Linked DNA regions of Oryctolagus cuniculus. The protein of the gene in region 3 purifies or fractionates together with the protein of the main gene of each other region. This does not show direct contact. Links are inferred from orthologs where the notes say so. Each region holds a gene or a part of one and is shown on either strand. Other genes may lie near its edges.

Region 1 (2,318 bases), on a different chromosome or scaffold from region 3:
TGTGATTGTCTGAAGTTATGACTCTAGTGGGAAGAGTTTGCAGCATTCAGGTGAATATTGTTTTGATTATTTTTTCAGACTCTTTAGTCCACAGATGGAAGATTATAGTCACTCCTCCATGGTTATGGGACAGAGGCCCTGTTTTTTTCCAATTTAGGGAAAAATTAAAATGTATTAAATAGTTTGAAATTAATGTGCTTCTCTACAATTTTTTTTCAGTTTATGTTTCTGAGAACACATTAAGTTTCGCCCAAGGCTGCGCATGGCCCAGAAAACTCTAATAAAAGAATTTCTCATTTTAGATTCAGTTAGAAAGTAAATTAAAACAAATGAAAAAAAATTTTTTGTTTTCTGAAGATGACTGAGAGAATTATTTGGAAATCACAGATTTTATCTGTAATTTCCAAAACACACCCAAACAAAACGCATTTGAATCAATTTTAAGAAGATGCTCTAATTTATTAAGTAGGCATTTAAAGAATGAAAACATTTTTCAGATGTCAAGATTAAATGTGTTTATTTTGAGTTAGTGGATACAACGGTATGTTAGATACCAGCACTCCAAGCTACACCTATGTATTTGCCTCTAAACCTTCAAACATGGTCAGTTTCCATTCTGCTAACACTCCACCATTGGGCTTTCTATTTCTAGCAAAATCATAGTTTAAATTAAAAAAGAAAAACACAAGATTGATCACCATATTGTGCTTCCAGTGCCCCCAGAATGATTTTAATTATCTCAAACAAATGTTTATTGTTTTCAGTAAAGGGGAAAAATTATAACATGAGCACTAGTAATGGCACTACTGGAAAAGAACAGAATGCAGATTAAAAGAAGCACTTTATTCTGGACTAGTTAGTTTCCTCTCCGATAAAAATCCACTTAATATCATGGATATGACTTCAAGGATAAATTGTTCAATTTGTGGGCCACACATTTAAGCGTATTGGCTAGTACATTTTTGCACTGAAACAGAAGCAATACAAGTTTTATGTTCTACCATTACACTTCCAGATTTTTCACTTATGAATATACCTGCCAACCTAATGATTCTTGCATGCATTAGAGTTTGCTCTTTTAGTTAAGTTTATTTTCCCCCTCCCTCCCGCTCCCATGAACACTGTGATGGGAACTCTTTGCCCAGCTTTATGAGAATTTGCAAAGGACAGCTCTGTGCTACCTCGGGACAGGAATCCCCTGTCCCCTCCCAGGGCTACAGATGGATCAGCAGTATTGATCCCATCTCATCTTACATGCAAACAGATACTGCTCCCTTAATTTCCCCATGCCAGAGGCATACGAGTCGGCAGGTATGCATACAAAAATGGAATTCAAAAGAAAAGAAGAAAAGAAAAAAAGAAAAAACTCTCTTGCGAAACCCTATCGTCCTAGAAGGAATCCATTGCTTTGAATTCACTTAAAGCCTGTACAGGCGAAATGTGTTTCTTCTGAGAACCTCTTCTAACTCGGGTCTGGAATTCTTCAGGCTTTTCTCTCTTGACAAGTGGCTTCTTCTCTGGAGCCTTCATCTTCCAAGACACAACAGGTGAGTTGACAGCAGCTGTCCCATAGACCTTCTGGTATTTGGTTGAGGCCACATAGGATGCTTTCACCGTGAGGACAACAGCATTCATCAGGTTTTTAGCTGCCTGGATAAGTGATGTAGCACTGTCCAGCTAGAGTGGGAGAAGAATAAAATACACCTGGGTTAACTGAGTCCCCAAATGCACAACATGTTGGTACAATTTCACAAGTCAAACACTGTTTTGCTTGGACAAGTATACAGTATTACCAAAAAGGAGCAAGTTAGCACAAGATAAGATACATAGGCTACAGATCAGTCACTTGTCCTCTCCTATGTTTAATCCCAAAGAAAAAAGAAAAAAAAAAGATTGGTCTATGATTCATAGCTTTCTAAAATCTCAATACCACTAAACCCTTTTTAACATGTGTGATTCCTAGACAAAAATTTGCTAAAGTGAAATATCTCAATATTATTATATTAGCCTAATTAGCAAAAATGTTTGAAAAGCCTTTAGCAGGTACTAAAGAATCAAATGCTATAAAGAGTTATATTCGGACTTCTCTGGCTCTAATGGTGAACATGCCTTTCTATCATAGACCATTTCCTATCCTAGACACAGAATTAGTGAAGATAAAAGCCGTTAAGCATAGATACGACCCATGGGTATTCTGTTTCTTACTTAGGTTATGGAGTTCTGAGTATCCATTTAATTATTTCCACATAATGAATATCATTCTTATATAAATACCAGTAATTGTGTCAGGGTCTAATAAATTGGGGAACAGTCACTGA
Region 2 (2,251 bases), on a different chromosome or scaffold from region 3:
GAACGTGGTGCAAATAGCATCAGACTCAAATGCAGCTCTTGGCCAAGTCCCTTAAAGGGCTTTCCAGCTTTGTTCAACATTTCAGTAGTTTAGAATATAGTGAAGAGAATATCATCTTCTGAAAAGGCAAATTACTGGAAATTTTTAAATTATAAATTTGCAAAAGGAACGAACAGTCATCCATGTTGTTCTTACTATACTCAATCTACTATCTCATGTAGTCATTCTAACAAGTAAGGAAAATAGGCTATTATTAAATGACCCCATTGATGTTGGGAGTTGCCAACAAAAACTTATGCAATTTAGCCTATAACTATGTTTACCCAGATCAGTCTCATTTTAATTCTTCCAATATGACCAGATCACTACACAAAGGGCCTTACTTATTGCCCCCCTCCCCTACAACCTCCCAAATTGAAAACTAGTCACTTAAATAAAAAAGACCATCTAAGCAAAGTTTTACATGACATTATATATGGAAAATAAAGTACAATTTCCAATTCAGTCTTCAAATATTTTTATTGGAAGGCCATGCATTGCCTTCATTTATTGTATTTCAAATCACTGTACAGTTACTTTTGTGAAAACACTGCCTGCATTTTCTAGTACAAAAAAAACCTAAAAATTGTTTCAGGAATGTAGAGAAATATCCAACTTAAATAGCGAAAAAGTGCACCATAATTACTGCTGCACTGCAGTCATTTCTGCATTTCCCATGTTTCTTAAATAACTATCTTGTCTGGTAACACACAATATAAAGAGCAATTATGAAAAACAGACATTTACATATACTTCTAAAGTCTTATTGAGAATATCCTGTTGGCATTGGATAACCAATCATAGGTGCAGCTGCAGTAGCAGGATATGCATATGCCTGTTGGTTCATACCATTGTGCATATTTGGAACATTACTTCCATATTGCTGAGTGCTATCATACCCATTCTGGTAAGTCCCTGTTGGATTACCAGTCCTAAAACTGGTCTGTAAACCAGCAGACACAAAATTACTTCCAAAGCTCCCATTGGTGTAACTTGCAGCACTGTAAACACCATTTTGAGTTTTTGCCCCAAAATCTCTCTTAAGCAGACTAGAGTAACCTCTGTCATAATTTTCCCTGTCTCTAAAGGTATTAAATCCACCCCTTTTGCCCGCAGAGTATCTGTCCCGACGGTCATCCTTCATGCCTCCTCTACCCCTGGAACGACCTGTCAAAAAAAAAAAAAATGTTGCAAACTTATTAATGTCTGCGGCACAATTTATTGCTAATATATAGAAAGTAGGTAATTCTAGTCATAATCATGGGTGGGAAGTATTTTTCAATTTCTCAAATTAAGTTTCACATTCAAGATTTTATTCCCCCTCTAATCCCACCTGAATGGATTTGTAGACGATGTGACCTGAAACCACCTAATTCAAGGCGAGTCTTACCTGCCCCTCTGTCTTCGACCAGCTGAAGCAACTTGGGGTTAATTGCTTGATTAGCTTCCCGAAGCACAGAGATAAGGTCGCTCACTTGCTTTATGTTATTAGGTGTAAAGAAAGTGTATGCTGTGCCCGTTTTGGTACTGCGAGCAGTTCTTCCAATTCGATGAATATAATCCTCTGAGGAGTTAGGGTAGTCATAATTGATGACAAATTTCACATCTTCCACATCTGTAAGGTGTTGCAGTGTGGCAAAATAGCAATGTATGGAGTTTTGCACACCACAACAGCCAGACCAAAAATAAAAAGTTAGACAATTGTATTCCCAAGAAGGTACGGGCTGCAAAAAATACAGTTAAAATGGTTATCCTTTCCCTGTAGGAATACCATTCAAGTTTAAAAAAAAAAAAAAAAAAAAGAGGAAAAAAAAAAAAGCACACATCAGCTGTACAAGCCATCGCCCACCCAGTGATAAAGCTTGTCGAAAGGAACGTGTGTTCCCTAGCACATTCCCAATTCAGCACGTCCCCTTACAGATCATCAAGTGACATCTGAATGCTTCTGCGCAGTAGGGCCACTTTTAAGTTTCACAGCAACCTCTTCATGTGCTCATTTTGAGGACCTTTAAACAAAAATGTACAAGGTCCTTTGCATTACACACTCATCGGAAGTTCAAAATTCAGGCCACACTGCTTGTCTTGCCAAGACCTTACAACCGCAGCTGCAAGAAAAACATACCTGTCCCCCAAAAGTTGTTTTTATGCACTGTGTCTCGTCTAGGCAAGCGCTTCCAAGAAGCCAGGATTCACTTGAGAATGTGTCTCTCTC
Region 3 (3,500 bases):
AGAGAGGAAGGGAACAGTAGCTGTTTGACAGAATGTCACTAATGAAATAAAGTGGAATAGAAAGGGACCGGATATAAACACTCAGGGAGGGACTACAGAGGGTGTTTAGGACTGATGGGGATGTTGAGCCTACTAGCCACTGCCGTATCTGCTTTGTAATTGTCCAGGAGGAATGCAAGCCTTAGGACTTCACCTGACCGATCCTAGTCAACGTCTCGTTCAGAACTGTCTTTGGACTCTTAGGAATCTTTCAGATGCTGCAACTAAACAGGTAAATCCTAAGGAAACTGTGCTTTTGTGATGAAATCAAAGGGAATGTGTACCAAGCCTCTGTTTTTATCTCCACAGGAGGGGATGGAAGGGCTTCTTGGGACTCTTGTTCAGCTTCTGGGTTCAGATGATATAAATGTGGTCACCTGTGCAGCCGGAATTCTTTCTAACCTCACTTGCAATAATTATAAGAACAAGATGATGGTGTGCCAAGTGGGTGGTATAGAGGCTCTTGTGCGCACCGTCCTTCGTGCTGGGGACAGGGAGGACATCACGGAGCCTGCCATCTGTGCTCTCCGTCATCTGACCAGCCGACACCAGGAAGCGGAGATGGCCCAGAATGCTGTTCGCCTTCACTATGGACTGCCAGTTGTGGTGAAGCTCCTGCACCCGCCATCCCACTGGCCTCTGATAAAGGTAAAACATCAACAAGGTAGAATGCTGCTGAACTGGAAATGACCTGCCTCTAACTATAGGATGGATATCTACGCCAAGGGGTTGATAAATAGGAATTACATTTCTTAGTAATAAATGTGGCTGGGGACAGGTAGGATTCTGAAGTGTTGGCGTATAGATTTAGTGTGGTGGGAAACTTCGGGTAAGAAAATGATTGTGTTGAGTTGTATTTTTCTTACCTGCAGGCTACTGTTGGATTGATTCGAAATCTTGCCCTTTGTCCAGCCAATCATGCACCATTGCGTGAGCAGGGTGCCATTCCACGCCTAGTTCAGTTGCTGGTTCGTGCACATCAGGATACCCAGCGTCGCACATCCATGGGTGGAACACAGCAGCAGTTTGTGGTAGGTGAATCTTGGTAGAAAGGGCCAGCTAAGTCCAGAGGATCCTGAGCTACATGGCTTATTGGCTCTGCCAGTGCCCTTCTTGAGAGGAGTGTGAATGGCTAAAAAACCTGACAGTGTTGTGTGGGAGCAGAGATCCTGTGGACCTCACTGATGCTGCTTAGGCATGTGCTATGCATGATCAGCCTTTGAGTTTGGAAGTACTGGTACTCACCCAACACAGGCTCACCTCTTCAGGAAGGAAGTGTACTAGTTGAGTCATACTGTGAATAGAAGTCTCTCTGATGGAAGAGTTTCTTATCCCCCACTATAAGCTGAGTTTTGCACCAAAGTATTTGACAGGCCTTTTTACTCTCTCTTCCATGAGAGTTTTAACAACTGTTTTCATGAACTTAAAACTGTAATACTGAATTCAAAATAAGTAGTAGCATTTATGCAGTCTTGATCCATAATATTTTTAGCCTAAAGCTGTGATGTTGACTATTAAAACACATACTACACATGTAGTTAAACAAGGACACTTCTCACCTTTTAGACATTTTTTTAAAGACTCAAACCTTTTAAAAGTTTTCTCTAATTAGGCTCCTTTAAATAAGAAACATGGACCTTACCAGGACAGAGTTTGATAATCCCATTTTGCCAGTAGGTCTGTGTGCGTGTGCACTCATTTGCACTCCGGCTTTGGCTTTCTGTTCACTGCTTTTGGTGTTAGCCCATCTCCATAGAGTGCCTTAATAGAATGCCAAAGAATATCTTGTCTGGTTTTTTGAATCTCAGAGATTTTGTGTCCTCACGAAAAGTCAAGTTTCTATTTTTAAAACGCCACTAAAAGTATTAGAATGATAACGGAAAGAAAAACCACTCAAACAGGAAGCAGATGGTACTTCATTTGTAGAAGCTAACATCCTTCTTCACATCCAGGCTATCTGTTGAATGGCCGTAGGAGAATCGCCTGCAGAGTAGGGTTTCTTGTGATGAAACTTTGTTCACCAAATACATGTAAACATACAGGACTAGAAGGGGCACATGCCGTAAAAACATAGTTTGAACATCACTTCCCATCCACGTATCTTCTCTGTTTATATACTTTTTAGTCAAAATGATCAGTGCCCTTTTGTAAGAAAGTTACTTTGGGATTCAGAGGTCCATGGGAATTGTACAGTTAGCCCTTAGTATCTGAAGGAGATTGGTTCCAGGACCCTCTCTGGATACCAAAACCCACAGATGCTCAAGTAATGCATGTCCTCCTATATATTTGAAGTCATCTCCAGATTCCTTATATTATCAGTATAGTATAAATCATTGTTATACTTTGTTCTCTTTATAATTCCCTAAACAATAAAGTCTAAATAGTTCACCGTAGATGCAGGTTTTTTTCCTTTTAATAGTTTTGGTCTGTAGTTGATTGAATGTGGATTTGGAACCCAAGGATACAAGGCCGACTATACTTTGCGTATCACAGAGGGGTGTTGCTTACCAGTAGTGCCACTAGGAAGCCTCCTTTTGGTGACATTCAGGTGAATGGGAATCCTCCTTTATTCCTGCACTAACCAAAAATTACGGGGAGCTTTGGGCAACTGTAGTCTAGTAATTGCTGCTCAGAACCATTTACAGACTTTAAAGAGAAGACTGTCCTGTTGGTTAACCATGTTTCTTCTGGTAGGAGGGAGTCCGCATGGAAGAAATAGTGGAAGGTTGTACGGGAGCCCTTCACATCCTAGCTCGGGATGTTCATAACCGAATTGTAATCAGAGGACTAAATACCATTCCACTATTTGTGCAGGTATGTTGATTTTTAAATGAGGTGTTCTAGATTTTACATGTCTAAAATTTCATTGTGTTTCAGAAAATTAGGGACCAGAAAGATAGGGGAACTAACATTTAATTTTATGAAAATTGCCCCCTCACACACCCATTTTTTTGGTCAGTAGAAAGGAAAACATTGGGACTATAGCCTGTGTTTTAACTCTGGGTTTTCATTAGGTTTTGTGTTTTCTCTTTAGCTGCTCTATTCTCCCATTGAAAATATCCAAAGAGTAGCTGCAGGGGTCCTCTGTGAACTTGCTCAGGACAAGGAGGCTGCAGAAGCGATTGAAGCGGAGGGAGCCACAGCGCCTTTGACAGAATTGCTTCACTCTAGGAATGAAGGTGTTGGTGAGTAGAAAAAGAACCAGGGCTGTGGTGGCTGTCGTGTATGGTGAAGTCTCACCTGTTCCTTAAGGACCTTTTGTTTCTGTCCTTTCCCAGCCACGTACGCCGCTGCGGTTTTGTTCCGAATGTCTGAGGACAAGCCACAGGATTATAAGAAGAGGCTTTCGGTGGAGCTGACCAGTTCTCTCTTCAGAACAGAGCCAATGGCTTGGAATGAGGTGGGCAGCTGTGTCCGCACGTGGAACTGGAGCCTGTAGAGCAGGGAAGGCAGCTTGCTCT
Region 4 (3,500 bases), on a different chromosome or scaffold from region 3:
GGGGAATAATATGCTTTCTAATGCCCTGAGAATATGAGGCTTTTAATCTGGATGGTGGGAACAGGTACTGTTCTTCACTCTGTGTAAGCACTGGGCATTGTTCTCTTTAATTCCATTGGATGATTGATTCTTTACCCAGCTTTAAATGATTTCGTTATCTTCATGTACTAATTGGTATTCTACTGGAATACTCCAAGGAATCTGTGTAGCTCTCTTCTCATGTGTTTTGTCCTGTGAATTCTCGCCACCTTGGTCTTGCTGTCGCCCCAGCTGCATTCCCTCAAATCGGGAGTTCTCTGAGGTCTTTGTGGGCTCTCTTCTTAATGCCCTATCTCGGAAGCCACCAAGGGCTCACCTTGTTGGTTTCTCATTTGTCAGGAAATCACTGTTCTACACTGTTTGATAATCTAATATCCTTTAAACCTGGTGTCTTGTCATTTTCACTGGTAATTTAAGACAGGAAGGTTAATCCTGTCACTCTGTTTTAGTGTGGCTGGAAATAAAGTCCAGTGATACCAAGTCCAGTGCAGGCTTGATTATAGTTTAGAAGAGCATTTGAACTTGACTCTAGGTGCTTTAGATTTTAGGGGAATGTTGCACAGTGTCACACAAAATGAGTCAGATACCACCATACCCATATTGATCATCTGCTATAAAGTATCTTCATACCTAATCTGAATAAAATTAGTTTACTTTATAATACTGCTGTATTTAAACCTGCAGGAATTTCTGTCCTTTTTCCAGATTTTGTGTAAACATATTTCAAGATTTTCATCTTGTGGCTAAAGTAATATTTTTGTCTACTCTTAATAAGGTACTCAAACACTTTTTAATTCTTTTTATCTTATTATATAAAAAGACACTTTGCTTAAGATTCATCTTACAAAATCTGTACTTTAAGTATTAAGTCGCTTTTTATACATAGTTCTGAAAATATAGCCTGTCTCTCTTTGCTGTTTTGGCTATTTGAAAATCAGATGCAGGGAAGATAAAGTGTTCAAACTATGGTTTCTTCCAGAGTTTAAAAGGGGTATGTGTTTCTGTGGTATATAAAAGCCTTTGTCACCTATGTATATGTTGTACCCTGTGACATACGGTTTTGAAACCTTGAAATAAATTTCAAGAAAACCTATAATTTTGAAGTCTTTATATAATGAATTTCATACTCCTCTTCTGGGACCCTCTTAACAACTGGCCTCGATATGTATGTTTATTTTCTGTGAATAGATGTGGGTTAACTAACAAAGTCTCAAAAAATACAAAGAAAACACTCATGTTAATGAGTTACTGCTCTTTTGGAGGGAAATGATAAATATAAAGACATTTGTTGCATTGTTTCTTCTGGAATTTATTAATTTACTCACAGTAGTATATCTGCATGAACCTTCTTTATGTGTTAAAATCTTGTAAGAGTACAAAATATGTCATTTTTATAGAAAGAAGGCTTTAATTGTTGTTACTTAAAGTGTTTTTACTAGAAAATTGTAACAATGTATTTGTGATGTGCTCAAGGAATTCTTGCTTTGAAAATTTAAAAAGGAATTTGATTTTAGGTCTTTATCTGAAGCCATGTCAGTGGAAAAAATTGCTGCAATCAAAGCCAAAATTATGGCTAAGAAAAGATCTACTATCAAAACTGATCTAGATGATGACATCACTGCCCTCAAACAGAGGAGTTTTGTAGACGCCGAGGTAGATGTGACTCGAGATATTGTCAGCAGGGAGAGAGTGTGGAGGACACGAACAACGATTTTACAGAGCACGGGAAAGGTAATAGAGGTTACTCATTTCTTAGAGTGCCATGTCTGTGGTTAGTCTGTGATTGGTTATGGAATTGCTTAACATTTTTTATTAGAAGGAAGTTTGTAGTTTTCACTCTTCGAAAGAACAATAATAATACAGATTTCCAAGTGGTCATATTTGTCCTTGCATTCCTGAACGTGGCTGTCAGTCATTCAAGAAGTTGATAAAATCTGAATCAGAGCGCAAGCCTCTCCACATACCATTTGTAAATTAGAGTGACCCAGTTTTTTTTTGTTGTTGTTGTTGTTGTTGAAACCTCATGTCTTGGGCCGGCGCCGCAGCTCACTAGGCTAATTATCCTCCGTCTTGCGGCGCCGGCACACCGGGTTCTAGTCCCGGTCGGGGCGCCGGATTCTGTCCCAGTTGCCCCTCTTCCAGGCCAGCTCTCTGCTGTGGCCAGGGAGTGCAGTGGAGGATGGCCCAGGTGCTTGGCCTCTGCACCCCATGAGAGACCAGGAGAAGCACCTGGCTCCTGCCTTTGGATCAGTGCAGCGCGCTGGTCACAGCAAACCGGCTGCGAGGGTGAACCAACGGCAAAGGAAGACCTTTCTCTCTGTCTCTCTCTCTCTCACTGTCCACTCTGCCTGTCCAAAAAAAAAAAAAAGAAACCTCATAACCTCATGTCTGGAGGGTTTTATGGCAAGCTCTTTGGTCATCAGAGCTGATATCATGAATTTTTTCTACATAAAGTAGAGAATCAGTCAGCAGACATTTATTGAGTATATTTTATACTTTATTGTGGATGTAGGACTTTCTATTTTTTTGCTTCTTCACTATGGGAGCTATTTTGTTGTTTTTGCTCCAAGACTGTGGGGTTTTCCTCTCTCTCTTTGTCCGCTGCCTCTTTTCTTCCTTGGTTCCCTCCCACTTCCTCCCCTTTGATTTTTCCTTCCTCCTCCTTCCTTCCCTTTCACTATTACAAATAATGCTTTAAAAGACATTCTTACACATATATAACTTTGTTCAGTTATGTGACTAGTAAAGGATTAAAATGAATTTCTGGTTAAAGGAGATGTGCAGTTTAAGAAAATTTTTTTATTTGAAAGGCAGAGTTTTAGGGAGTGACACAGAGAGACTGATTGATTGATCTCCAATCCCTGGTTTATTACCCAAATGGCCACAGCAGCCAGGGCTGTGCCAGGCGAAAGTCAGGAGCTTCATCCGGGTCTCCCATGTAGGCCACAGGGGCACAAACTCTTTCCCAGGTGCATTGACAGGGAGCCAGCTTGAAGTGGAGCAGCTGGAATTCACACCAGTGCTCATATGGGATGTTGCTGTTTCAGGCGGAGGCTTACCCCACTGCTCCACAGCACTGGCCCTGAGATGTACACTTCAGACCTTGAAAGATAACATGAATTTCTGCAAAGGAAACATTGATTCTGTCTCATGTGTATATTTTCATCAGTCTTTCCTGTTCTACACCTCAGTTTTCTGTTAAACGTTCATTATCCTCTGATGTACGGTTGTTAAATGATCTAATTAAGAATATTTGAAGAATCATGGCAATTAGTGATGAGCTTCACTGTTCATCACTTCAGCATTCTTCTAGGCAGATTGATTTTGATTGTAGAATTTTGAGATTTTAGTCTGAAATTTACTCTGACATTGTAAGAATAAAGCTACTAGAGAAGAGTGTTTAAAAAATGATTTATTTTTGGAGGGAAGGGTAGCCCACATTGTAGCTTAGTAGGCTAAGC
Region 5 (3,971 bases), about 6.6 Mb from region 3:
GACACGTCTACAACTTGTTCCACTGAGAAGGTAACAAAAAATTCTGCTTCCCAAATTTCAGATGCAGTTTAAAAACGATACTTTACTTCTTACCATCCCAAATACTAATCTGAGAACACATTTGCAGGGAAAGAGAGAGACAGGGATTTAAAACATTGGAAGGATGCTATTGCTAGATGCAGTTATTTAGGTAAAAAAGCTGCTTAACTTCACCCTACAGGTCTGCAAAGCCTTAGGCGACAGATGCCAACTGAGGACACTTGTTTACGTCTCCTTAAACCGAGAAAGGCTCACAATGTCCACATTACACATACATGTGGTTTCAGGCCACCGCCCAGGTGAACATTTAGCTAGAAAAGGTACTGTACCTGAAAAGAGTCCAGAGTTGTCTATCGGGCCGGGAAACAGGTTATGCTCACCCACATTATACATATCCCAGCTGTCGAAGCCCACATACTTCTTCCACTGCTTGAACCACCGACTGTCAATGAGATACCTAGAGAGACAAAAATTTGAAGAAGCAGAAAAGCTAGGGTTGTAAGTTTTTGCAGCTGCTTTCTTATACCTTTTTTTATTTTTTAAGTTTTATTTTATTCATTTGAAAGGCAGAGTGATAGAGAGGGTGGCTCACTCACCAAATGGCTTCTATATTTGGGGCTAGTCAGGCCACAGCTAGGAGTCTGGCACTCTAGCCAAGTCTCCCAAGTACTAGGACCATCTTCTGCTGCTACCCCAAGTACATTAGCAGGGAGCTAGATCAGAAGCGAAGCAGCTAAGACTCAAACCAGTACTCTCATATGGAATGCTGGCACTGCAGGCGGCAGATGAACCCACTGTGCCACAATGCTGGCCCCTCCCTTAATATTTTTTTATAGCCTTAAACATAGGGAACAAGTAATTCCCACTAAAAAAAAAAAAAATGGTACCAAAGGGCCTGGCCCTGGGCAAGCATCCATTAAGTGAAACAACTCTTAAAAACAGAATAAATAAAACGGAGGAAAAAATCAGCTTCAAAATGGTTATGTAAATGGAGTCTTTCTATGCATAAAATCACGCCTGCTATTAAACAAGTTATTAATTTGACAGTGATCTTGATAAAGGCCTGTGTCCAGGCAGGCAGTCTGGTTATTCTGCTTTGCTCAACATGAACAGCATTAAACTAGTTTCTTTCTTTCTATAAGTGGAATACTACCACTCCAGTTTCCCTTTGAGGATCATGTTAGATATCCCTAAATGTACAGCGCATGTGTGTACCCAGCCACACACACTTATACCAGTGTCTAGGTCAGGTCACCTTGTCAAAAAGCATTAAGTTGTGTTTGACACTCAATACTTTTTATGCTTAATTACTACAAGCCAATCTCATCCTATTTTAAGCACATCACTAGGCTGCTTTAAATTCAGACAGGAGGGAGAAAACCCCGGGGGACAGCGAAGTACCACAACTATACTGGTGAGGCCAGCGCTGAGGCACAGCAGGCTACGCTGCCACTTGTGACGCTGGCATCCCACACGACAGCACCAATTCCAGCCCGGCTACTCTGCTCACCTTCCTAGGAAGGCAGCAGCAGATGGCCCAGGTGCTGGGTCCCTGCCACACTTGTCAGAGCCCCCAGTGGAGTTCCGCACTCCTACCTTCAGCCTGGAGCAGTCCCAGAGGATGCAACCATCTGGGGAATGATGAACGGAAGCCATCTCTCCCTATCTATCTCTCCCTCTGTCACTCCACAGGTCACACAATGTTATTTTTTTTTAAAACCCCTATCAGAACTCCTCCTGTTTCCAATGTTTCCCCTTCTCTGCTGGTCTGATAAAGACAGACAGCGCTCAGTGATACACAAGGCAAAGCCTAGTGTTTTACTCCCACAAGTAACACCACCTAGGACTCACTCTCCTGGTGGACAGTATGAGGGTGCATCAAACAAGCAATTCATGAAAAAATGAAATCTGAAAACAATGCAACGTTTCTTTGAGCTCTACGAAGTCCCCTGGTCTAATCCCCGCCTATCTCAGCCTGGCTCTTCTAAACCTTGCACTTTTCATTCTGTGGAGCTCCGGGATCTGGGCCACCCTCCTCTCCCGCCTGGAGGCTCTGCTGCCACAGTTATTTTTTACATTTGATACCAAAATAATCTGGGGTTCCAGGCATTTGATTAACGTCTGCCCTTGAAATCTTCTTGGCAGTTTACAAGTTACAAAGTACCTACTTCTGATCTTCGCCTCAACCCACTGAGCCGGTGGGTTTCAACAGTAAGGCATTAGGGTCTGCGAGGGCTGGACACCTCGGCCCAAGGTCACAAGGTGAGAACTTGGTGGCAAGGGCTCGCACCACACCCCTGAGGAGCATTCCCCTTCTCTTAAACCCTGCAGCGCGGATAGCCGCCGGACCCGCCCCCTGGGACTCCGAACCGGCCGGGACCACCTCCAGTCCCACCTGCGTTTTCCCCGAGTTGACCCTGGGGTTTCACTCCCCAAGGGCGGGTGTCAGGACACTCTTTGAGGGTCATCGGACACCGCCCCCGCCCGACTCCTATCCAAGTCGAGAAAAGGGAGCCTGCCCTTAAGATCAGCGCCCCGGCCCCCAGTTCTACGCCGGGGAAGGGAGGGGCCGCTGCTCACCACTGCGCCCCCCTTTGGAGCGTGGTCCTCATGAGGGCCCCGAGCTCGGACTTCTGGGTCTCCGCATCCGGTCTCTCACGGCAACCTCCGCCTTCCGCCATCTCGTCCGCGGCCCCGGCCCAGCCGGCCCGGACATCCGCCCCACGCACGCCGCGCTATGGGCCGCGCCCACGCACGCACGCACGCACGCACGCCCGTGTGCGCGCGTCAGCCCCACCTTGCGCCGCGCCCTCGCCCAGGTTCTCCCCGCCCCCACGCACCCCTCCCACGCATGCGCAGTGGAGCGGGGGTGGGGTGGGGTCAACCGAGGCTGCCACTTCCTCCTGCGCTACCTGCCACACCTATCACGAGCTGCCCGCCTGGTGCCCGTCAGGCACGCCTTCCTCTGCTCAGAGTGGCGCCCGCTTGGCCTCCGAGGCGCTGTCCAGCCCGATGACCTGAAGGAACACCCCACGACCTCTCGGGCACCCCATCCTAGCCTAAGGCGTTATCTTTTTCCTAAACAAAGGCAGGCCCGGTTCAAGAAACCCTGGAACTAAGTTTTCTCGTTCTCACTCGCACCATTTCCGCTTTCAGCTGGGGACCTCAGCGGCCCAAACCTGTGTTCCTGCCCCGAGATCCCTCCGGGGGGCTTGGGAGCGCCAGGTGCACCGACTCCTCGGGACCGACCGTGCGTGCACTGTGCCCTCATTGGACGGCGGAATCTCTTGGCCGGTGGCCAGGGCCCCGCAGCGCTGTGCGCTGGGCCACTGGGCCTTGTCGGCGAGGCCAGCAGCCACGGAGGGGCGATAGCAGCTGGGGAAGAAGGGAGCTCCAGATGCGGTCTCCTGGTTAGGTGCGCCGGCATCTGTTCCAAACACTCGATCCCGCGCACAGAAAAACACCGTCTTCCCGGAGGGAGAAGTGAACCCAGAGCAAGGAGGCCAGGCACTGGCCGTTCGCTTGCCCAGCAGTTCCTGCCCTCGTAGAATCTAGTGAACAGACCGTCCGCACATCGCTCCAGTGTTTGGCAAATGCCATTACGGGGTGTGAACCCCAGGCTGTAGGAGTGCCAGGCGCAAGCCCAGCCTTGACTTTCAGCAGGATGAGTGGGATCTTGAAGGAAGTGTTGGAAGCAGAGAGCTGCACCCGCATGTTACAGGAGGGCAGGCTGAGAACTTCTGGAACAGCAGGACAGTATCAGAGTGGGCGTGGGCAGGCTAAGCTGGTCCTGCATTTCTAAGGAAGGCTGGGGGAGCCCCACGCCCCACCTGTTGGAGGAGGTGTGCAGCAGAGGGAATGGCCGAGGGGCTTCGCACCCGCACCGGCAGTGGTGCACCCCGGGAGGCCCTCGGGGACCTCTGGGGAGGGTG
Region 6 (3,500 bases), on a different chromosome or scaffold from region 3:
GGCCGTGCAGCCATCTTGGGGGGTGAACCAGCAAATGGAAGATCGATTCTCTGTCTGTGTCTTTCTCTCTCTCTCTGTCTCTCCCTATCTGTAACTCTGCTTTTCAAACAAATAAAGCTTTTAAAAAAGAAAAAAACTGTTGCTATTATTACAGATTATTTTAAGCTTGGAACATTCCAGAAACAATACAATTTCTTGTATTTGTATTTGCTTTCAAGTAGGGCAAAACCAGTACTGGAGATATTGGTATCCCTTCTCAGGCCTGCCTGCCTGCCTGACACTACACAAAGCTATCTACTTTATGCAGGAAAACAGAATATAACTGGCCCTGCTCAGATACGCACTGACAGTAAGACAAAACATAAAGAATATAAGTTGCAAAACAGTACCCAGACTCAAGAAAGGCCAATGTAAAGAGAATCAAAGGGGGAGGGGGAATCTCAAAGGTCACACTAAGGCATTCACTCAAAACAGTGGCTCAATTTCTTTATGGCTCTATCCCAGCACCTAAGTTAGTGTCTGCAGTAGAGCCAGTACTCAAATACTTGTTTTTAAATGTCTGTCGGGCTCTACAGGAACACCAAGGACGCAGAGACAATGATACTGTTCCTTTCTTTAATTAAGGAACACACTCTAAGTTAGGGATTGAGGAGGGAGTCCAGAAAAAAATAAATGTTTACCTCTTGCTAGGGGAACACCAAGGAGAATGACTAACTCTGCCCAGGGGTATCAGGGAGGACTTCAGGGAAGAGGCAATAACGGTGATGAGCCCTGAAGGATGAGCAGAGTTTATCAAGAAAAGAAAGAATACTGCAGGTAGAGGGGTCAGCAAAAACATGGAGTTAAGATAAGCGGCAGCAATGTCCAGGGAACAGCAAGTAGAAAATTTTTTAGATCGAAGTTGATCAGGAATAAAATCACTAGAAGTCATGGTACATTTTGACACTGTGGAATACTACACTCTGTAATATGTAAGTTCCATACTAAGCCATACACCTTCAAATGTCAATCTCTAAAACCAGCGATTGGTAGCAGACAGCAAAGACTAAAGCTGAGTTTACATTAAAGAATATTGAGTACTAGGCACATAAAGTACAAGAAACTCAAGACACAAGGGTAAACAAGCCAGGCAGGGCCCTTGTCCTACAGAGCTACAGTCCGGGAGGAATCGGGATTACCACCCTTATTTGCATGATGGGTGTTCTGGGCATCTTACAGCAGAGGGCCCAACCTGTTCACAGAGGACTGTTCACAAACGTGATGCTTAAGAGTGGAGACTGATTCTCAGAGGCTAAAGCAGTGGGCAAATGCAAAAAGAAGAAGGGAGCTGCAGCACAGAAGTCTGGGAAATAGCTTAATACGATTTCCACACAAAGCTCCAAAATACAGGAGAGAGAGAAGTTCAAATCTCAAGGCTATATTAAAGAAGTCAGTTCTCTGCAAAATAAGGCTCCTGTATATTTCTTAGGGACTATGCAATCATCTGTTTATCTCTAGGTGGTTACCTTTTAATCAGATGTTAATCAAGCTCCAACCAGATGTAATCTATAGACCACACAACCTGGGAACCACCATCACTCCAAAGGATTTTCTGCTTTAATTCCACAAATAAAGTGGTCTGAATTTACAAGCACAGGACTTACTCAAATTTGGAGATAGGGAATCTGATAAAAGCAAAGATGACTGACTGTTCAACATTATATAAATGAAATAGGAAGGAGGGAGAACTACCCTTCCCAACGTAAGAGTAGATAGAATTTGTAAATGGGCCAGGAGGGGAAGAGCAAAAGTGGGGAGAGCATCCCATATACGACTAACTGGAATAAAGGGAGCAACTGCAGTGCCTGAGGAAGAAGAAGGGGGAAAGACGGGATAAATGGAAAAGGAAAAAAGTTTCACATTCTTGGCCTATGGCTTTAAAGATGAGGTTAGAGCAATTTTAAAAACCCTTGAAAAAGGGCAACCCACCCGCCCCCGTGTGCCCCCGGAAGTGCTGGGTCCGGGCTCCAGAACTCCACTCCCAGCACGCCACAGTGTTGTCAAAGGAGCCTGTCACAAGCTTCTGCTCGTCAAACTTCACTGCTGCACAAGTGTGGGTCTGGATGCCATAAACACATTGCCCTGTGCTCACATCCCACAGCTTTGCAGACAAGTCATCTGACCCTTCAAGAGAAAAACAGGGAGGTTAATAAGAAAAGGCATATTAAAAAGACAAAGTCAATCTTCAAACCAAAGTATTCTTAAAAGAGAACATTAATGGTCACCTTTTCCAGCACTTTGACTTTATGGCTGAGAAAACCAAAGAACGAAGAGTCCCAGTTGCATGACTTGCTAAGTCATGAAAACAGTGTCAAATGCACTGAATGCACTGTGGGGGCTGGCATGGTGGTGTAGCGGGTAAAGCTGCTGCCTGCAGTGCCGGCATCCCATATGGGTGCCGGTTTGAGTCCTGGCTGCTCCTCTTCCGATCCAGCTCTCTGCTATGGCCTGGGAGGGCAGCGGAAGATGGCCCAACTGTTTGGGCCTATGCACCAGCGTGGGAGACCTGGAAGAAGCTCCTGGCTTCTGGCTTCACATTGGCCCAGCTCCAGCCTGGCTACTGCAGCCATCTGGGGAGTGAGTCAGCAGATGAAAAACTTCTCTCTCTCTCCCTGCCTCTGCCTCTCTGTAACTCTGCCTTCCAAATAAATTAATTAATTAAAAAAAATCAAGACTTGGGGGCTGGCGCTGTGGCGCAGTGGGTTAAAACCCTGGCCTGACGCGCCGGCATCCCATATGGGCACCGGTTCTAGTCCCGGCTGCTCCTCTTCCAATCTAGCTCTCTGCTATGGCCTGGGAAAGCAGTAGAAGATGGCTCAAGTCCTTGGGCCCCTGCACCCACATGGGAGACCTGGAAGAAGCTTCTGGCTCCTGGCTTCGGATCGGCGCAGCTCCAGCCGTTGCGGTCATCTGGGGAGTGAACCATCGGATGGAAGACCTCTCCCTCTCTGTCTATACCTCTCTCTATAACTCTGTCTTTCAAATAAATAAAATAAATCTTTAAAAAAAAAAAGGAACAAAGATATAAAGATTTTCAGCCACATGTGCACTGTTAGAGGTAACATAAAAAAAAAATCAAGACTTGGTTTTAATTAAGTTTAAAATCCTAATAACTAACTCATGTCTCACAATTTACCTTTAATAAAACTCAATAAAGAAAAAGACATCGGTACTATAATAAAAACATAGTACCCTAGGAAAGCACTAAATCATCAGTTTTCTAAAAGCTGAAAAGACTTCACAAAGTCAGCCACAATTCCACCTTTCATAAAGGGCCATTGTTTCAGAAAATGAAAAATAGTTACCACTTATGAAAGAGCTTGAACACTGAAATGATGAATGTATTTGTCACCCTGCTATTTTGTAAGACTTGGCTGGTGATTCTCAATGGACAGGAGAGATCAGAACCATGAGGGTTCTTTTATCAAAACACACAAACAGGGCTCTAAGAGAATTCTAAT
Region 7 (3,500 bases), on a different chromosome or scaffold from region 3:
TCCCAAGCACCTAGGGAAAGTGGACAAACTTCCTCCCACGGACAGAGGTCAGTCTCAAGGCTTCAGCTGGCCTGGGTGCTACTTTGAGACTCAGCAGCAAGGGAGAAGCTGGCCCTGTACCAGGGCCTCTGCAAAAGGGCCACAGCAGGGCCTGGCCATCCCGAGGTGCTCTGTTCTGCAGTCCAAGTCTCACCACAGAAGGCCCTGTTTCCTCTGCCCTACATGTGTGTTCCTGAGTGAGCACAGGCACTAATTCTTTGTGTGTCTCCTTCCTCCCACCCCACTGACGTACAGCTCTGCCTACCAGCACAGTTGCTGGCAGACAGAAGATTTGCACACACTTACAGCTGCCCAGGGGGTTCTGCATGTCCAGAGACATGTTGCTCAGAAAGTCACCGTGAACAATGTCCCGCCACTGGATGGTCTCCACATTGCACAGGACAGGGTTGTTGCTGAATCGCACAGCTCCATGAAGGATTTCTGCAAGGGGAGGAGATTCAGTGAGAAACGTCCCCTCAGGAACCACACGTGCCTTTCTTAGCATTTCACATTCTGTTGAAAAGATGTAGTGTGGGGGCTGGCACCACGGCGCACTAGGTTAACCCTCAGCCAGAGGCACTGGCATCCCATGTGGGTGCCGGTTCTAGTCCCAGCCGCTCCTCTTCCAGTCCAGCTCTCTGCTGTGGCCTGGGATAGCAGTGGAGGATGGCCCAAGTGCTTGGGCCCCTGCACCCACGTGGGAGACAGGGAAGAAGCTCCTGGCTCCTGGCTTCGGATTGGCGCAGCTCCAGCTGTTGCGGCCATTTGGGGAGTGAACCAACAGAAGGAAGACGTTTCTCTCTCTCTCTCTCTCTCTCTCTCTAACTCTGTCAAATAAGTAAAATCTTAAAAAAAAAAAAAAAAAAAAGAAAGAAAAGATATATTGTGGAACAGGAGTCCAGGGCTAATCCTATGAAACCTGGATGCAGAACAGGACTCATCTGAGGACAGTGCCATAGAGGAGAGAGGATGCCCTCAATGTGGCCTCCAATGGTCAAAAATTTAGTCACAGGGAAGGAGGAAGGAAGGAAGAGGCAGGCTCCATCAGTGGGCAGAGCACAGAGGAGTGAGCCATGTAGGGTGGTTCCTCGGGGGTTGAATGGGCTAGGCTGGAGTGAGCCATGGACAGATGGACAGGATGAGAAGGGCAGATGGCACCTGCAAGCCTTGAAAACTCAGATTCCCAGCACAGGTACCAGGCTTACCCAGCGCACTCTTAGTACCAGTGGAGTAAAGGGTATGAAGGTGGCATGTGTGAGGGCACCTGAGCCTTGAAGCAGTGGCTGGGAAGGCTCACGGTGGATTCACAGAATGGCAACCATGGGCTAAGAAGGCAAGGAGAGGCTGCTTCTGCTCTCTGCTTTGGAAGGGAGCAGACCCAGCCCTGTGCTCCCACTACGTCCCTGCAAGTTCAGACCCAACTCCTCCACTCTGTGCCTTGGCTTTCATCGCATCCCTGTCCTGGGGGGCAGCAGGAAGGGTGGGAGTCTGGGGCAGAGATTCGCAGAGTGCAGCCCTCGAGTAACTCCCCTGCTTCTCTCTGTGAGACGGCGGACTGCAGTGCCTACCAGAGGGAAGGATATGCGCAGTTCGCATGGCTGCTGCATGCAGAGTGACATTTATCACCAGCTTTAAAACCCGTCATCGTGCACAGAGGCATCTCACAGTGGCCTTGCAAGTATCAGACTGAAACCTCTGCTGCCTACCCTGAACTTCAGCCTGAATTCCTAGGGCAGCGCTGCTTAAGACCCAGTGTGCAGTGGCCTCGAACATGCACGCGTCCCTCCTATTTGCAGTCACAGTTACCTGTGCTCAACAAGACACTGGGAGGGAGGAGGGGAGTGCCTGGTCCTGCGGGCACACACAGCTCGTTACTGTGTATCGCTACCACTGGTACCCTTCTATTGTATCACTGGTGTTGCTAATGGCTTACTGTGCCTAGTTTACACCTGTTGTCTGGCGTGTGGCTAGCACTACTACATGTGTGACTTGATGAGTGCAAGTCTTCTCTGAGGTGGCACTAAGGAAGGTGACCGGCTCAGAGACCCCCTGCCTTTGCGACCTCCCACGGCACCTGCTCACCCTGCAAGTTCCGCATGGGCAGCTCCCTCAGCCCGGTCTTGTTGGCTCCGTAGTTGGACAGAACGGCTAAGGCGTAGGTGTTCTCATACAGCACGTTTCCTCGGATGATTTGCAGGCTCTCCAAAGGGATGCTCTCCACGGTGTTGAGGGCAATGAGCACGTAGCCAGCCACCTCCTGGATGGTCTGAGAGGACAAAACATGAGCACGGTGCTTCTCTTCTGAGGAGCTCAGGAATTCAGGGTCTAAAAGGAGTCCTGAAGCCCAGGGCACCTGACTGAATTAAGACGCACAGGAGTGGCCGTCAGGTGTAAGACAAGTAGGGGATTAGAATCTGGGAAAGGGGGGGAAGGGCCTGGAGCATCTGCGAAGCCTTAATCCACAGTGGTGTGTGTAGCCAAGCAACACTACAGCTCTCGCTCTGCACTCGACAGAGTTGGCACATTTACAACTGCCTTTTACATCCTTCTCACATGATGCCTCATTTACAGGACGCCCAGAGCAGAATGGGGTCAAGCAAGTTCAGCACAGCTTCACTGCCACCAACATTGATGGAACGATCACTCAGAGTGTGTCTCACCTGAGACAAAGAATTCTCTGAAGCCTTCTGTGTGGGAAGGGGGTTCATCCCAGCTCCTTGGAGCCTATGGAAGTTTCGTGAATGGCTGTAAAGCTCATGGGAGCTCAAAATGGAGCCATGGTGGGAACATTTACCCCAAGGCAACAGGCACACGAGACAGAACAGGACCACTTTCTCTGAGAGCCACAGCACCAGTACCCCAGGCAGAAGCAACACTCAGGGCTCTTGTCAGTGTACAGCATGCTAGAGCCATAATCTCCTGTCCCAGCTGTGATGCCACTGAGGCTGCCTTCTTTTTGATGCCACTCTCACTTTCAATACCCCAGAGTGAATGTAAACTTCAAGTTAAATTCAGCCAAGCTGTACATCCCTCACCTGTCCTGCCATGGCATTTGTGTGGGAAACAAAGCCACACAACCAACCTTTAAGAAGGAGAGGTCGTGGTTCCTCTGCACGTAGGTGATCTCCAGGTTCCCCAGCACCACCTCACAGCTGTTGAACATCCTCTGCAGGCTCAGGAAGTGGTCCTCAAAAGGGCCGAGCTGGGTCAGCTTGTTGCTTGTGCCCTGGCAAACTAGGGAGGGAGAGAGACCATATACGACATTGAGTGGAAGGGCAAAACCCAGGCAAAGCTATGTTTGCACACATGGGGACCTTCAGTGACTTTCAACATCAACTCTGATCAAGGACACTAAGAGTGAGTACCATGAAGGGTGCTTAAGTTAACAGAAAATGCAACGCAGAATAAGAATAAGCAGGAGGCAGTTTATTCTTAAATTCACAGCACAAAGAAATGTTACA

The links.
Region 1: the proteins of CTNNB1 (region 3) and CTNNA2 purify together in Homo sapiens (co-immunoprecipitation; 5 studies listed by BioGRID and IntAct, with this or other methods). This does not show direct contact. The link is inferred for Oryctolagus cuniculus from reciprocal best matches to the Homo sapiens genes CTNNB1 and CTNNA2.
Region 2: the proteins of CTNNB1 (region 3) and DDX5 purify together in Homo sapiens (affinity purification with mass spectrometry; 3 studies listed by BioGRID, with this or other methods). This does not show direct contact. The link is inferred for Oryctolagus cuniculus from reciprocal best matches to the Homo sapiens genes CTNNB1 and DDX5.
Region 4: the proteins of CTNNB1 (region 3) and CDC73 purify together in Homo sapiens (affinity purification with western blotting; 3 studies listed by BioGRID and IntAct, with this or other methods). This does not show direct contact. The link is inferred for Oryctolagus cuniculus from reciprocal best matches to the Homo sapiens genes CTNNB1 and CDC73.
Region 5: the proteins of CTNNB1 (region 3) and USP4 purify together in Homo sapiens (affinity purification with western blotting; 3 studies listed by BioGRID). This does not show direct contact. The link is inferred for Oryctolagus cuniculus from reciprocal best matches to the Homo sapiens genes CTNNB1 and USP4.
Region 6: the proteins of CTNNB1 (region 3) and FBXW2 purify together in Homo sapiens (affinity purification with western blotting; 4 studies listed by BioGRID). This does not show direct contact. The link is inferred for Oryctolagus cuniculus from reciprocal best matches to the Homo sapiens genes CTNNB1 and FBXW2.
Region 7: the proteins of CTNNB1 (region 3) and EGFR purify together in Homo sapiens (affinity purification with western blotting; 4 studies listed by BioGRID and IntAct, with this or other methods). This does not show direct contact. The link is inferred for Oryctolagus cuniculus from reciprocal best matches to the Homo sapiens genes CTNNB1 and EGFR.

What each region holds. Positions count from the first base shown.
Region 1 is NC_091433.1:122,032,543-122,034,860, forward strand, and holds the end of CTNNA2 (catenin alpha-2), read right to left. Parts: intron 1,678-2,318; coding exon 1,390-1,677; 3' UTR 501-1,389; downstream 1-500. UniProt on the Homo sapiens protein: May function as a linker between cadherin adhesion receptors and the cytoskeleton to regulate cell-cell adhesion and differentiation in the nervous system. Required for proper regulation of cortical neuronal migration and neurite growth.
Region 2 is NC_091448.1:14,232,431-14,234,681, reverse strand, and holds the end of DDX5 (probable ATP-dependent RNA helicase DDX5), read right to left. Parts: intron 1,655-2,251; coding exon 1,430-1,654; intron 1,207-1,429; coding exon 803-1,206; 3' UTR 501-802; downstream 1-500. UniProt on the Homo sapiens protein: Involved in the alternative regulation of pre-mRNA splicing; its RNA helicase activity is necessary for increasing tau exon 10 inclusion and occurs in a RBM4-dependent manner. Binds to the tau pre-mRNA in the stem-loop region downstream of exon 10.
Region 3 is NC_091441.1:106,476,750-106,480,249, reverse strand, and holds part of CTNNB1 (catenin beta-1), read left to right. Parts: intron 1-167; coding exon 168-271; intron 272-348; coding exon 349-687; intron 688-911; coding exon 912-1,070; intron 1,071-2,733; coding exon 2,734-2,853; intron 2,854-3,073; coding exon 3,074-3,224; intron 3,225-3,317; coding exon 3,318-3,439; intron 3,440-3,500. UniProt on the Homo sapiens protein: Key downstream component of the canonical Wnt signaling pathway.
Region 4 is NC_091444.1:9,863,496-9,866,995, forward strand, and holds part of CDC73 (parafibromin), read left to right. Parts: intron 1-1,553; coding exon 1,554-1,770; intron 1,771-3,500.
Region 5 is NC_091441.1:99,898,335-99,902,305, reverse strand, and holds the start of USP4 (ubiquitin carboxyl-terminal hydrolase 4), read right to left. Parts: upstream 2,801-3,971; 5' UTR 2,721-2,800; coding exon 2,620-2,720; intron 497-2,619; coding exon 369-496; intron 1-368.
Region 6 is NC_091432.1:224,702,512-224,706,011, forward strand, and holds part of FBXW2 (F-box/WD repeat-containing protein 2), read right to left. Parts: intron 2,164-3,500; coding exon 1,969-2,163; intron 1-1,968. UniProt on the Homo sapiens protein: Substrate-recognition component of the SCF (SKP1-CUL1-F-box protein)-type E3 ubiquitin ligase complex.
Region 7 is NC_091447.1:57,841,134-57,844,633, reverse strand, and holds part of EGFR (epidermal growth factor receptor), read right to left. Parts: intron 3,274-3,500; coding exon 3,122-3,273; intron 2,306-3,121; coding exon 2,122-2,305; intron 481-2,121; coding exon 346-480; intron 1-345. UniProt on the Homo sapiens protein: Receptor tyrosine kinase binding ligands of the EGF family and activating several signaling cascades to convert extracellular cues into appropriate cellular responses.